Linked DNA regions of Arabidopsis thaliana. The protein of the gene in region 1 purifies or fractionates together with the protein of each later gene. This does not show direct contact. Each region holds a gene or a part of one and is shown on either strand. Other genes may lie near its edges.

Region 1 (3,756 bases):
CGTATGTGTTAAGTTTTCTCGCGAAAGACGGCTTAAGATTCATCAGCTCCATGGCAAAAGAAAGGTTACCAGAAGCAGAAGCTATATGGAGAGGAGTGTTGATGAAAGGTATTGCATCAATGATTTCAAGAATGTATGGATTCTCATGGATATGAGCATACAATTCATCGATGCTTCCGATTTGAGTAGCTACGATCAATCTTGGATCCATTATATCAAGAACAAGAAGAAACAAGTCTTTGTTTTTCTTCAAGAAATAAAAACTTTACATTTACTTATAGAATATAATGTCATCGTTTGAACAAGTATTTGATGTTGACTTGACCAATCATTTGTTTAAGCCAATAGAAGACAAACACTAGATGAACTCAGAGAAAGAGACTACAAAAAAAAAGTCTTCTCTAGGGATACTACAAATTTAAGTAGAACTTGATACATTAATTTAAGAGAATATAAATCCTACCAACCCAACACATTGTGAAAATCAGAATTCACAACATGAGAGTAATCATATCACTAAAACGTCGTCGTTTGATCATATCAAAATAATCAGCAAAGATATAAATGATAAGAAAGTCGAGAATTCGACATGTTCCAATACGACACAAGCAAAGTCATTGGCATGCTGGAGCCATTGGAGTAGTCGCCGGTATAATGACAACAAGAGAAAATGATGAAAGCTCCCATAATTTCTGATGCTTTGCCAAAGAGAACAAGGTAAATAAAGATTCCAAAAACCATGTACGTAGCTAGCTTTGAGAGCTTATTGTTTCTCTACTAACGTGTAACATTCTTTGAACATTGTAGAGCATTGGAGATCTAAGTTTGAGCAAGATATTGGCTGGAAAGACAAGGAAATTAGCTGCTCGAATGTTTTCGACATTGGTAATTGTTCCTCAATAGGGATTGTTCCTTTATTTTTCTATCTCTGCATTGCCTCTTAGCTGAAATGTGTTGTTTTTTGAATTACAGGTATTGAAACAGGATCAACCATATGGCGATATCGCTCTGAAACAGTGTTAGGCATTAAGCGTACATTGATCTAGCTTCAAACAATTCTAAACCGCATATAAGATAAATCATTATATACTAATTTTTTTTTTGGTAAGAGTATATACTTAGATATATAGTATAAAACAAACATAAAATGTAATGATTCATCATTTATTTAATAACATAGCATTTTTTCTTTTTTTGAGAAATCACTTCCCAATTAAGTGATTTTGCAAATAAAAAAAGTGATAATCATTTACTTCATTAACTTTATAATATGGTTATGTACCTCATCATTATATACTGTAAACTACATTTACAAAGATAATTTTGTAGTTATAGCCAAAGGTCAAAAGTTGAAAACTCTCTCTCTCAAATCTTAAAACTAAAGCACAAATTTGAGATCACATATCCATGCATGTATAATGTATTGTCACACTAAAAATCGGTTTAATTTCTCTTGAGTTTTAAACCAATCGAGTTGTAAACAAGTTTCGGTCTAATTTCGAGATAAACTTGGTTTGGTCTTCTGGTTCAATTAGCTCGGTTGCTGTTTATTTTTTATCATTCATATATAACAAAATCGACAACGATATAGTAAATGGGCCACCGGCAAAACAAAAATATAGTACATGGGCCTTTATTAGTCACTATGTTAAGCCCAATACAAATCGGTGTTTAACAGTAAGCGAAGCCCACCATCATCAGAATAAAAGTATGTTCCACTCTCAGGAAATGCCTTGGTAGAAAAACCATTCTTTGGTAACTTTCGCTTACTCTCTCCCCATTCTCTCTCGAAGAGAGCCTCGCCGGAGTTTGTTTTTCTTCTTGTTTCGCGGCCAAAACCGCCTTTGTGTAAAGCTACCTTGTTATTTTCCTCCGTTAACCATCTGGGTAAACTCTTCGCTTGATTTTTCTGTTCTTCCCCCTTTTTCGATTTCTCACTGTTTTTAATCTACGATTCAACTTGTTTAAATCTCGTTTTCGTGTTCTTCGATTTGATTCTTCGTTTAAAATCATGTTCTTAACTCGATCCATTTTGATTTCGCTGCGTTAGACAAGTAATTGATTTTTGTTTTTTCTTGTTCTTCCATTTCTAGGGTTTCGCCGTGCGAAGCTTCCGTTCGCGTCTTTGCTTTAATTTTGAGATTTTATTGATTCTATTTCGAAGTGGTTTTTTTTTTCCTTACCCTAATTTTTCTTTCTGGGTCTGAAATTTGGTGTAATTTACTGCAAATTTTGACCTATTTTGAAGGCTATGAAACCCTAGATTTCAATTTGGATTCGTTAAGTTTATATCTCTCGACATTGTTTCACGTTTTTGATATATATAGAGTCTAATGTTTTGCGATATTAGTTCTCATTTTCACGTTTTTGTTGCCAATACCTATATGTATATGATTATGTCCTGCGCATTTGGAGATTGACGTTGTTTAAAAACTGTTGAACTTTATTTGGCATTCACGAGATAAGGTTTTGTTGGTCTTTTCAATTTTTGATAAAAAGATTAGTCTTTTGTTTTTTTCCTGATTAGTGAAAGCTTTAGGCTTGTGAATCTCTCTCTGTCTCGTTTATGTAAAACTTTCTTGTTTCTGAGTATTATTTTACTTTTTCTTCGCAGTATAGGTTGCTGCTGGACTCTTTAGATGGCAGACTCTCGGAATGGTAATGCCCGAGCCCCTCCTAGTGGAGTGCCTCCAAAAGCTGGGAATACTTATTCCATAGATGTTAAAAACTTTATCTCACGTGCAAGAGCATTGTATGAACACTGGAAGAAGCACAGTGCAGACTTATGGGGATCTGCCGACGCTCTTGCCATTGCTACCCCTCCTGCTTCTGATGATCTGCGTTACCTGAAATCTTCAGCGTTGAATATTTGGCTTCTTGGGTATGAGTTTCCAGATACAATTATGGTTTTTACCAAGAAGCAGATCCATTTCCTGTGTAGTAGGAACAAGGCTTCTCTACTTGAAGTTGTGAAAAAACCTGCACATGATGAGTTGAAGCTTGATGTTATCATGCATGTTAAGCCTAAGGGTGATGATGGAACAGGGCTGATGGATGCCATATTTCGTGCCATCCGTGATCTATCCCGGGGTGATGGAAATGATTCACAAGTTGTTGGACACATTGCTCGTGAAGCCCCTGAAGGTAAGCTTCTGGAGACATGGACTGAGAGGCTAAAGAATGCAAACTTCCAGTTCGTAGATATAACTGGGGGGCTGTCTGATCTATTTGCTGTTAAAGACGATACTGAGGTCATGAGTGTGAAGAAAGCTGCGTATCTAGCCTACAGTGTGATGAAAAATGTTGTTGTTCCAAATCTTGAGAGTGCCATTGATGAGGAGAAAGACGTCACCCACTCTGCCCTGATGGATCTCACTGAGAAAGCGATACTTGAGCCAACTAAGGCCAGTGTGAAACTGAAGCCAGAGAATGTTGACATATGCTACCCTCCGATATTTCAAAGCGGAGGCAAGTTTGATCTCAAACCAAGTGCTGCAAGCAATGATGAACTGCTCACTTATGATCCAGCGAGTATCATAATATGTGCTGTTGGTGCTAGGTATAATAGTTATTGCTCAAATGTTGCCAGGACCTACCTAATAGATGCAACTTCTCTCCAGAGCAAGGCATATGAGGTTCTTCTCAAGGCACATGAGGCTGCTATTGATGCTTTGAGGTCAGGAAGAAAGATAAACACTGTCTATCAAGCTGCCCTTTCTGTTGTTGAAAAGAATGCCCCTGAGTTCGTTGACAAGC
Region 2 (3,756 bases), on another chromosome or scaffold:
GCTAAAGCCAAAACATCTGGTTGATGGTCTCTTATAAACTTTAGAAAACGATCTTGATCCATTTTTTTACGTTTCTGGTCATTTACATCCCGAGACCGCAATCCAATGGAACCTGAGTAAAGCACATCAACCAGCTCTCCTGATGAATCAAGCATCACAAATGTAGTTTCTGGATTTCCAGGTCCCCAACAACAAGCTAGGACCCTCGGTGCAGCTTCCTCCTCCGAGGTATTATTATTCCTTCGATATGGCCCTGAAGACACTTTGTTCCATAAAACCTGTCCATACTCTGAAAGCAACTGAGTCTTCGCTCTGCTAGTTAGCAAGGATCTTGCTTCTTTCTCCATTGACGGCAAAACAAAACCATGAACCGCATCCTCCAGTATCAATTTCCTCTGCTCGTTCCAGAGTTGAGCATACTTACTAACACCAACACTTAGATAGTGTTCACTGCATTCACTAATTATCCTATTCATCTGATTCTCAGGCAGCTTGAAAGTTACTTGAAGAAGCTTCTCCTCTTCTGCTTTCTGAATGAGAAGCCATTGTACACCATCAAACTTTCTCAATGGCTTCTCGCTTAACCACTTAACCGCAGAAAACCGATGGAAGGAATCTATAACCACATTCCCATCTGGTGTTGGACTCGTTGAGACTACTGCATTCTCCATAAAAATTCCACGAACATACTTTCTAATCGATGGCTCGCAGCTTATCTCAACCGCAGCCATATGCCTTGCACCTTTAAGAACAGCTTGAGAATCTCCAAACATTGCACACTCATAGTTCAATGCCATCTCCTCTGGTGTTTTCTTTGCATCTTCAAGCTCATCAACAAAAACTTTCTCAAGAGACAACGCTAGTCCCAATTGCTCAGCGCTATAACCAAACTTGTTTGCAAATTCCTTAATCCCAAATTTGCTGCAGATGCTATATTGCGATTTCCTATTCGGCCTCTTGTACTGTCCTTCATCGATCTCACAATGAGGAAAATGCAAGTTGAACTTTGAGTCTACATCATCAACTTCTCTCTCTGTCTCCGCCGCTTGAAGAGACTTAATAACAGATTCAAAAAGACTCTTATTCAGATCAGACATGCAGGTTTCTTCTTCAAAACGTTTGGTATAGTAACCAAACAACGCGGTTTTCCTTTTCCGCAGAAGAACCCACTTTCTATCCAAATCTTGAATCATCCACAAGACTTTATGCCACTTGGTCTCAAGCTTCTTGTCAAGATTGAAATCACTACCATCATGATCATCATCAGAACTGTCCAATAAACTCCGACACTGCTCCTTCCGATACATAGCTATAAACGGTATCTCTAACTTCTGCACATGAAACATCTCTAAAAACTTCACAATGTCATCCTTATTAATCAAACAACCCTGCCCTTGTTCTTGAAGCAATCGAGCATAAATCCAGTTGCTCTCTTCTTGAATGCTCATGTCATCTAGGGAAACAATTCCAATGGCTTCTTCAAATATCTGCATTCTCTCAGGAACATCAAGCTTCCTAATTTCATCATCTTTCTCCGTCATATACTTCTCAGAGAGAACCATTGGTTCAAACTCATCTTCTAACTTTCTTTCGATCTTTTCGTTATACTTCAAATCCTTTTTCCGAAGTTTCAACAATTCTTCAGGATCACCAAATACATCATTAGCGTATCGTAAAGCGTTCGAATCAGTTCCTTGCTTATATTTCATTTTCTTCCTCCTCATTCCTTGAGCACCATGATCATCTTCATCTACAATGAAGTGACTCAAATCATCATCATCATCATCATTATTGATCTTATCCTCTTCCTCTGAAGATTTCTTCAAACGTTTATACTTGTTTCTTTGGAAAGTGTCGTTGTTATCTTTAAGAAGTAGATAATCATCTTCGTGAAGAGTAAAGGATTCGTCTTTCTTCCTTCGACTTCTACTCTTTTTCTCACTACAATGTCTCTGTTCTTCTTCTTCTTCTCCATCATCAGAACCATTCACTAAAAACCCATCGTCAAACTCATACTGATCATCTTCGTCTTCATCATCTTCCTCACGGTTCTCCACTGGATCTTCATGAATCTGGGGCTCTGTCTCAAAAACAGAGTCGAATCGTTAGAAAAATAATAATAACAGAGAATTTAGGGCTTTTGAAAGCAGAGCTTTTTATGTACCTTCGTCGATCCTATTCATGACTAGGTTAGAATATTTAGCTATACGAAATCGATGAAGATGGAGATCAACCCTAGAAACTCTGTGATCGTAAAACTAGTCTCTATTTGATTCTGAATTTTGCGAAGAGAAACAAAGAAAAAGGCTTTTCGTACTTCTAGGGTTCACACCAGCATTAAGAGGCTACTAATTGAAGTTTTGAAGCATTTCTTATTTTTAAAAATATTTATGAAACTCTTTTTTTAGCTGATATTTAATTAATATATTTGGTATTTTTTTCGATTCATTAAGAGATTTATTTTTCATATTCATACAAATTTATATTGATAATTCTTTTTTCCACTAATTTTTTCATTATATAAACTAATGATAAAATATATAGGTGAAATATATTTTTAAAATATTAAACCTATAAAAAACAAAGAAATTCTCGAAAACTAAAGCAGAATCTACCGAAAACACTTAATAAAATTCATAGCACAAAAAACCATAACAATTAAGAATTGCAAAACAAAAAAAAAAAAAAAAAAAAAAAGATCAAGCAAACAACGGAGGATGGGATAATGAATCCTAAGAACTGAAAAAAGTAAAGAAGCAAACCAGACCGACGATCACTTGAATCAATAGAAACCGAGTTTGAGCCAAAGACAAGTGTTTAGAAGAGACTGCTAGATCACTAGAAGCACGAACCAATTAGAAACTCTAGCACAAACAGCACCAAACCGGAAGCAAACGCCAGACTGATCAAAACTACAACGGGCACTCACTCCCCCAACACCAAACCAAATTACTATTGATAATTTCTTATATCACATCTTTTGAAAAAAGGATTTAATTTAAGCCTAGTTATTAAGGCGCTTAACGTTGCCAAAAAAAAGAAATTATTCTATAAAATTAATGATTTTTAATTTAAAGGTTAGGTGTTTCTCTAGACTTAAATTATTTTCTTACACGATAGAATACTTAGAGGTTATTTCTATTTACGAAAAATGAGAAAAAAATGGAAAAACCAAACGGACTGAAATCACATGGAGTTTGTATATGCATTATTAATTCATGAAAAGAAGTGTCTTGAATTTTCAACCATTTTACTTTTGAAAATCACACTCAACAAAATTAGCTTTTGGTATAAGTATTTTTTTTTGTTGAGAAATTCGTGAAGACGTGTCGTTGGGTGGGTTCCAATAGATATTGTTCTAATATTGGCTAAAAGGTGTCCAAAAATAGAGTGATTCTGCAGAATATATTAGTATAATCATCTCCACTGGATAACCAAAAACAATATTGTTTGTTACATCGTTTCTCTTTTGTCATCTTATGCTATCACATGATGATTTTTTAAAAAGTGATGCAAGTTTGTAACCCTCTATGTTCACATGCTACGTACACGCAAATTTTGAAAGCACGGTCATTCAAGAATGCAAAACGTGTTGGTGGTCGAGAAGGCCGTGGACCCGTGGTCATTACAATTACTCAATTAGTGTTTTCTAGTAATTTAGAATGCACATGCACTCCCCCTCTTTACTTCATCTTCTCATCCTTATGTTGTTATTCAGTTTCTCGATTAGCTGTAACACTAATCTCTTCGCTCTCT
Region 3 (3,756 bases), 8.8 Mb from region 1:
CTTACTTTTACGCCCTTCAGAGAAGTAGAACTCATGTTCCCATATAACATCACGTGCTTCCGAATCCCCAGTGTACATAACCTGCATATATCATACGATGAAAACATTAATAAATAACTAATACCGTATATGTGACATATATATACGAAACATGATACATACCACATTCATATGTGGTGCCCAGGTGGCAAATTCCCTCTCCCAGTTACGGATGGTTGAGAGAGGAGCAACAACTAGATGAGGAGATAAGTTTTCCTCGAACAAAGAGGCCAAGAAGGCAATGCTCTGAATAGTTTTGCCTGCAGCAACCACAAAACCAATCTTATTTTACACAAATGATAAAAGCAAAGCCTATGAATAACCCCAAAAAAGAAATGGATTTTTGAAGACGTACCTAGTCCCATTTCATCCGCAAGGATTACATTGGTTTTCTTGGACCATGAATACCTTAGGAAATTCAGCCCTTCGAGCTGGTATGTATGCAATGTGCCTTAAAAACATATAAGGTAAGTAAATCAATAACATTATACAGAAACTGTATACAAATTGTTCAAGTAGTCTAATAAAATACCTGTAAGAAATTCAGGAGTAAGATCAAACTGTTTGAATTCCTCTCGATTTCTCTCATTTTCGACATATTTATCTCTACGAGAGCTAGAGTTTATATCCTTAAACCTTTGGATTTCATTCTGGAAATCTGAGATGTCAGATTCAGATTCCCAGTAACTATTTCTGTAAGAAAGTTCTTTGTACTTCACCAGATACTCCTCCCCATCATCTCCTTCCCTACATCATATCACAAACAAAAAAACCATAATTGTCAAAACGAAATCCATTAAGTGTCACACTTTTCTACACAGAAGATAGAGAAAGAAATATAAACGCATGAATAAATAATCACAAAGGAAAAAAAAAAAAAAAAAAACATAATTGTCACAACGAGGTCTATCAAGTTAAGGACATAAAAACAAAGGACAAGACTTGAATCACTTAACCGGCAAGCAATAATCCGGTCAACAGTTTTCCATTCAGGACGAATGGCGATAAACTCATGAGCTCCGTTCTCAGCGATGAATACGTCCATAGCAGCGTTAAACCTGGTCACCCTTAATTTTAGTTTTAAATGAGGATGGGACTTGTAAGCCTTCTCGAACTCCTGCTCGGGCACCCTAAGAATTGACATTAATAATCAAGTGATGATAAGATAACCAGACAAGAGAAGCAACAAAAACATAATAATCGACATGTTTAATTAAATACAACACGATATCGCATATTGCTGGGAATTTACCAAGAGCAGTGCAAGTACGATAACCCCTTCCACTTCACAAGATATTGTTTCACGACAACTAGGGTTGGTGTCCCGTTGTCAGAAGAATTCGGATTGTTAGATGCAGTAGGACGCCATTCACGGTCCAAAATCTTTTCAATCTCGCCAAGAGGACAATCCTGAAATGGATCAAATAATTAAAAGTCACTGCAGATCTATAATTTCACAACAAGACAAAGACATACCTGGTTACTTCCGCCTGTTTCTTCAACTTGTTCTTCACGAATGTATTCATCCAACTTGTCTTCAATATAATCTGGCTTTGGCCCGGTTCGTCTACGAAGCCTTTGCAACAGATTAGCCATTTCTCTGCATGAAAAAACCACAACAATGTGTTTGGTCAGTAAATATGATTCATTAAATTTTTAGATAAAATCGTAACAAGAAAGAGTGAAAAGAGAAATATCTCAGAAAATCTAAGACCAAGGAGGAGCGTACAAGATGAAGAAAATGCAAGGGAGCTAAAACGCAAGAGGGGTGATTCTTAAGGATATGATAAACGTCTGTTTATATATATAGAGAGGGAGTGGTCATTATTCTTTATTTCCTTTTAATTTTGTTTTATGGAGATAACACTACCTTTTTTTGTCAATTTCAATGTAAAGGTGAATTAATTTGTAACCAGAAGGGGATGCAGATGTAGTTGTGGCTGTGAGAAATTTTTAGAAGTGAGTCCTAGTGGTTTTTGTGAATGAAATTGTACCTAAAACCGTTAAGATTACGCGGCAATTTTGAAATTTCAACAAGAAATTCGATGATGATTTAAAATAAAATTATCAAAATAACCATATATTGAATAATTAAATATTTAAATATCATTAAAACAAAAAGTTATTTTATTTTATTAGTATAAAAAGTTGTTTGATTTATTAAGTTTCCTTGACACTGGTCAAACTATAAATTTATATGCTTACCAAAAAAAAACTATAAATTTATATTGTATATATACATTTATGTAACATAATTAAAAAATATATATCATATTTAGGGAAGAAATTAATTTAAAGTTTTTTTTATTTAAGATTCTTTGTCTGAATGGGTTGACCAGAAATAAGATTTAAATATTTAGTTATATCTTTAGTATCTAAAGATATGTGTCTGAAAACAAATAAATGAAACTTAAATAAAAATCTATTCAATGCAATATAATGTGATTTGTTTCTATAGAATAAAACAAATATTAAAGAGAGGCATGCAAATGGTAAGTATGAAAAAGGTTATAAAAGAAGAAGGAAATAAAGATTAGATTCATGCACTGTAATTTTGTTTAAAAATTAGCATTATCTTGAGTCTTGACCACAAAACCAAAATTAGTCGTCCGTTACAAATTGGAAAGGGATTTGGTTGTGACCAATAGTATGAAGATGGTTTACTTAGTTTCCAATACTCTATGGACAAATGGTGCATTTTTGTATTTGTTAGTTTTTTTAAGAGGTCCACATTTCAATTGATTAACGCTTTTTAAATTAACTAACACTTAAAAAAAGTTTTGTTACAAAGTATTATATAGATTTTAATTAATTGTAACAGCAAAAGCTTTCATAGCTCAGTTGGTTAGAGCACCCGTTTAGTAAGCGGGAGGTCTTGAGTTCAACTCTCAATGAAAGCAAATTTTTGTTATTTTACAATTAAAATCAGTTTTGTTCATTTTTATTAATCTTTAAAATAGATATGGTGTGAATGTTTCTCTTTATGCTTGGGCCTGTGGCCCTTTTTGGGCTTTGAAAAGCCTTGTAAGTTGACATAAAATCACGCTTATCAATTAGAGAATTATTAAAATATCCACCGAAATGTTTTCGGTGATAATGGGCTTTGAGTGCGTACCAGTAAAAGAAGGTTGAGACTTGAGAATAGCAATTAGCAGCGATCTGACCAAACAACACAACACAGTTAAATCATTCTCGAATACTTCCACTGGATGTCCACTGTGCAGCATGAAATTTGCATATATTTATTTTTAATTGATACAAGTTATTTTAGATGTTTATTGTATTTTTTTTGTAGAGCCATCCTAAAATAACCAAACCTTACGAAAAATAAATAATACAGAAACGTATCCAAAGGGGTTCTTACTCTTTAGAAAATTACTGAAATCAATTGTAGAAGAGCCTAAACATTGATTTAAATTTTGGTTTCTCGGTGGTTTTGTTGGACCATTTTTAGAGCTATAAACTTCTTCTAGAAATTCTTTTTTCTTAAAATGAAATATATTGTGTGTTATAGAAAAAGAATCATAAACAAAGCCCCAATAGTAGTAGCAATCTACTGATTTAGTATCATCAAAATGATGGGACTTGTGTAGAACTGTAGAAGCTTCCCTGACACACATTTTGTAAATTTTGAACGGTTGAAATTAGTGATGGCCTCACTCACCCCTCTCTTGTACTTTCACATTTTCTCTTCAAAGAAAAAAAAACAATTTTCAT

The links.
Region 2: the proteins of SPT16 (region 1) and AT1G63210 fractionate together in Arabidopsis thaliana (co-fractionation; one large-scale study listed by BioGRID). This does not show direct contact.
Region 3: the proteins of SPT16 (region 1) and PKR2 fractionate together in Arabidopsis thaliana (co-fractionation; one large-scale study listed by BioGRID). This does not show direct contact.

What each region holds. Positions count from the first base shown.
Region 1 is NC_003075.7:6,604,334-6,608,089, reverse strand, and holds the start of SPT16 (global transcription factor C), read left to right. Parts: upstream 1-1,732; 5' UTR 1,733-1,887; intron 1,888-2,093; exon of another isoform or gene 2,094-2,614; 5' UTR 2,615-2,639; coding exon 2,640-3,756. Other genes in the region: AT4G10720 (Ankyrin repeat family protein), read right to left, coding at 1-211. UniProt on the Arabidopsis thaliana protein: Component of the FACT complex, a general chromatin factor that acts to reorganize nucleosomes. The FACT complex is involved in multiple processes that require DNA as a template such as mRNA elongation, DNA replication and DNA repair.
Region 2 is NC_003070.9:23,441,656-23,445,411, reverse strand, and holds the start of AT1G63210 (Transcription elongation factor Spt6), read right to left. Parts: upstream 1,725-3,756; coding exon 1-1,724. UniProt on the Arabidopsis thaliana protein: Transcription elongation factor that enhances the transcription elongation by RNA polymerase II (RNAPII).
Region 3 is NC_003075.7:15,429,407-15,433,162, reverse strand, and holds the start of PKR2 (chromatin remodeling factor), read right to left. Parts: upstream 1,636-3,756; coding exon 1,516-1,635; intron 1,450-1,515; coding exon 1,292-1,449; intron 1,280-1,291; coding exon of another isoform or gene 1,210-1,279; intron 1,170-1,209; coding exon 996-1,169; intron 787-995; coding exon 572-786; intron 491-571; coding exon 395-490; intron 300-394; coding exon 163-299; intron 82-162; coding exon 1-81. UniProt on the Arabidopsis thaliana protein: Chromatin remodeling factor that represses the expression of embryonic trait genes upon and after seed germination and thus enables the developmental switch to post-germinative growth.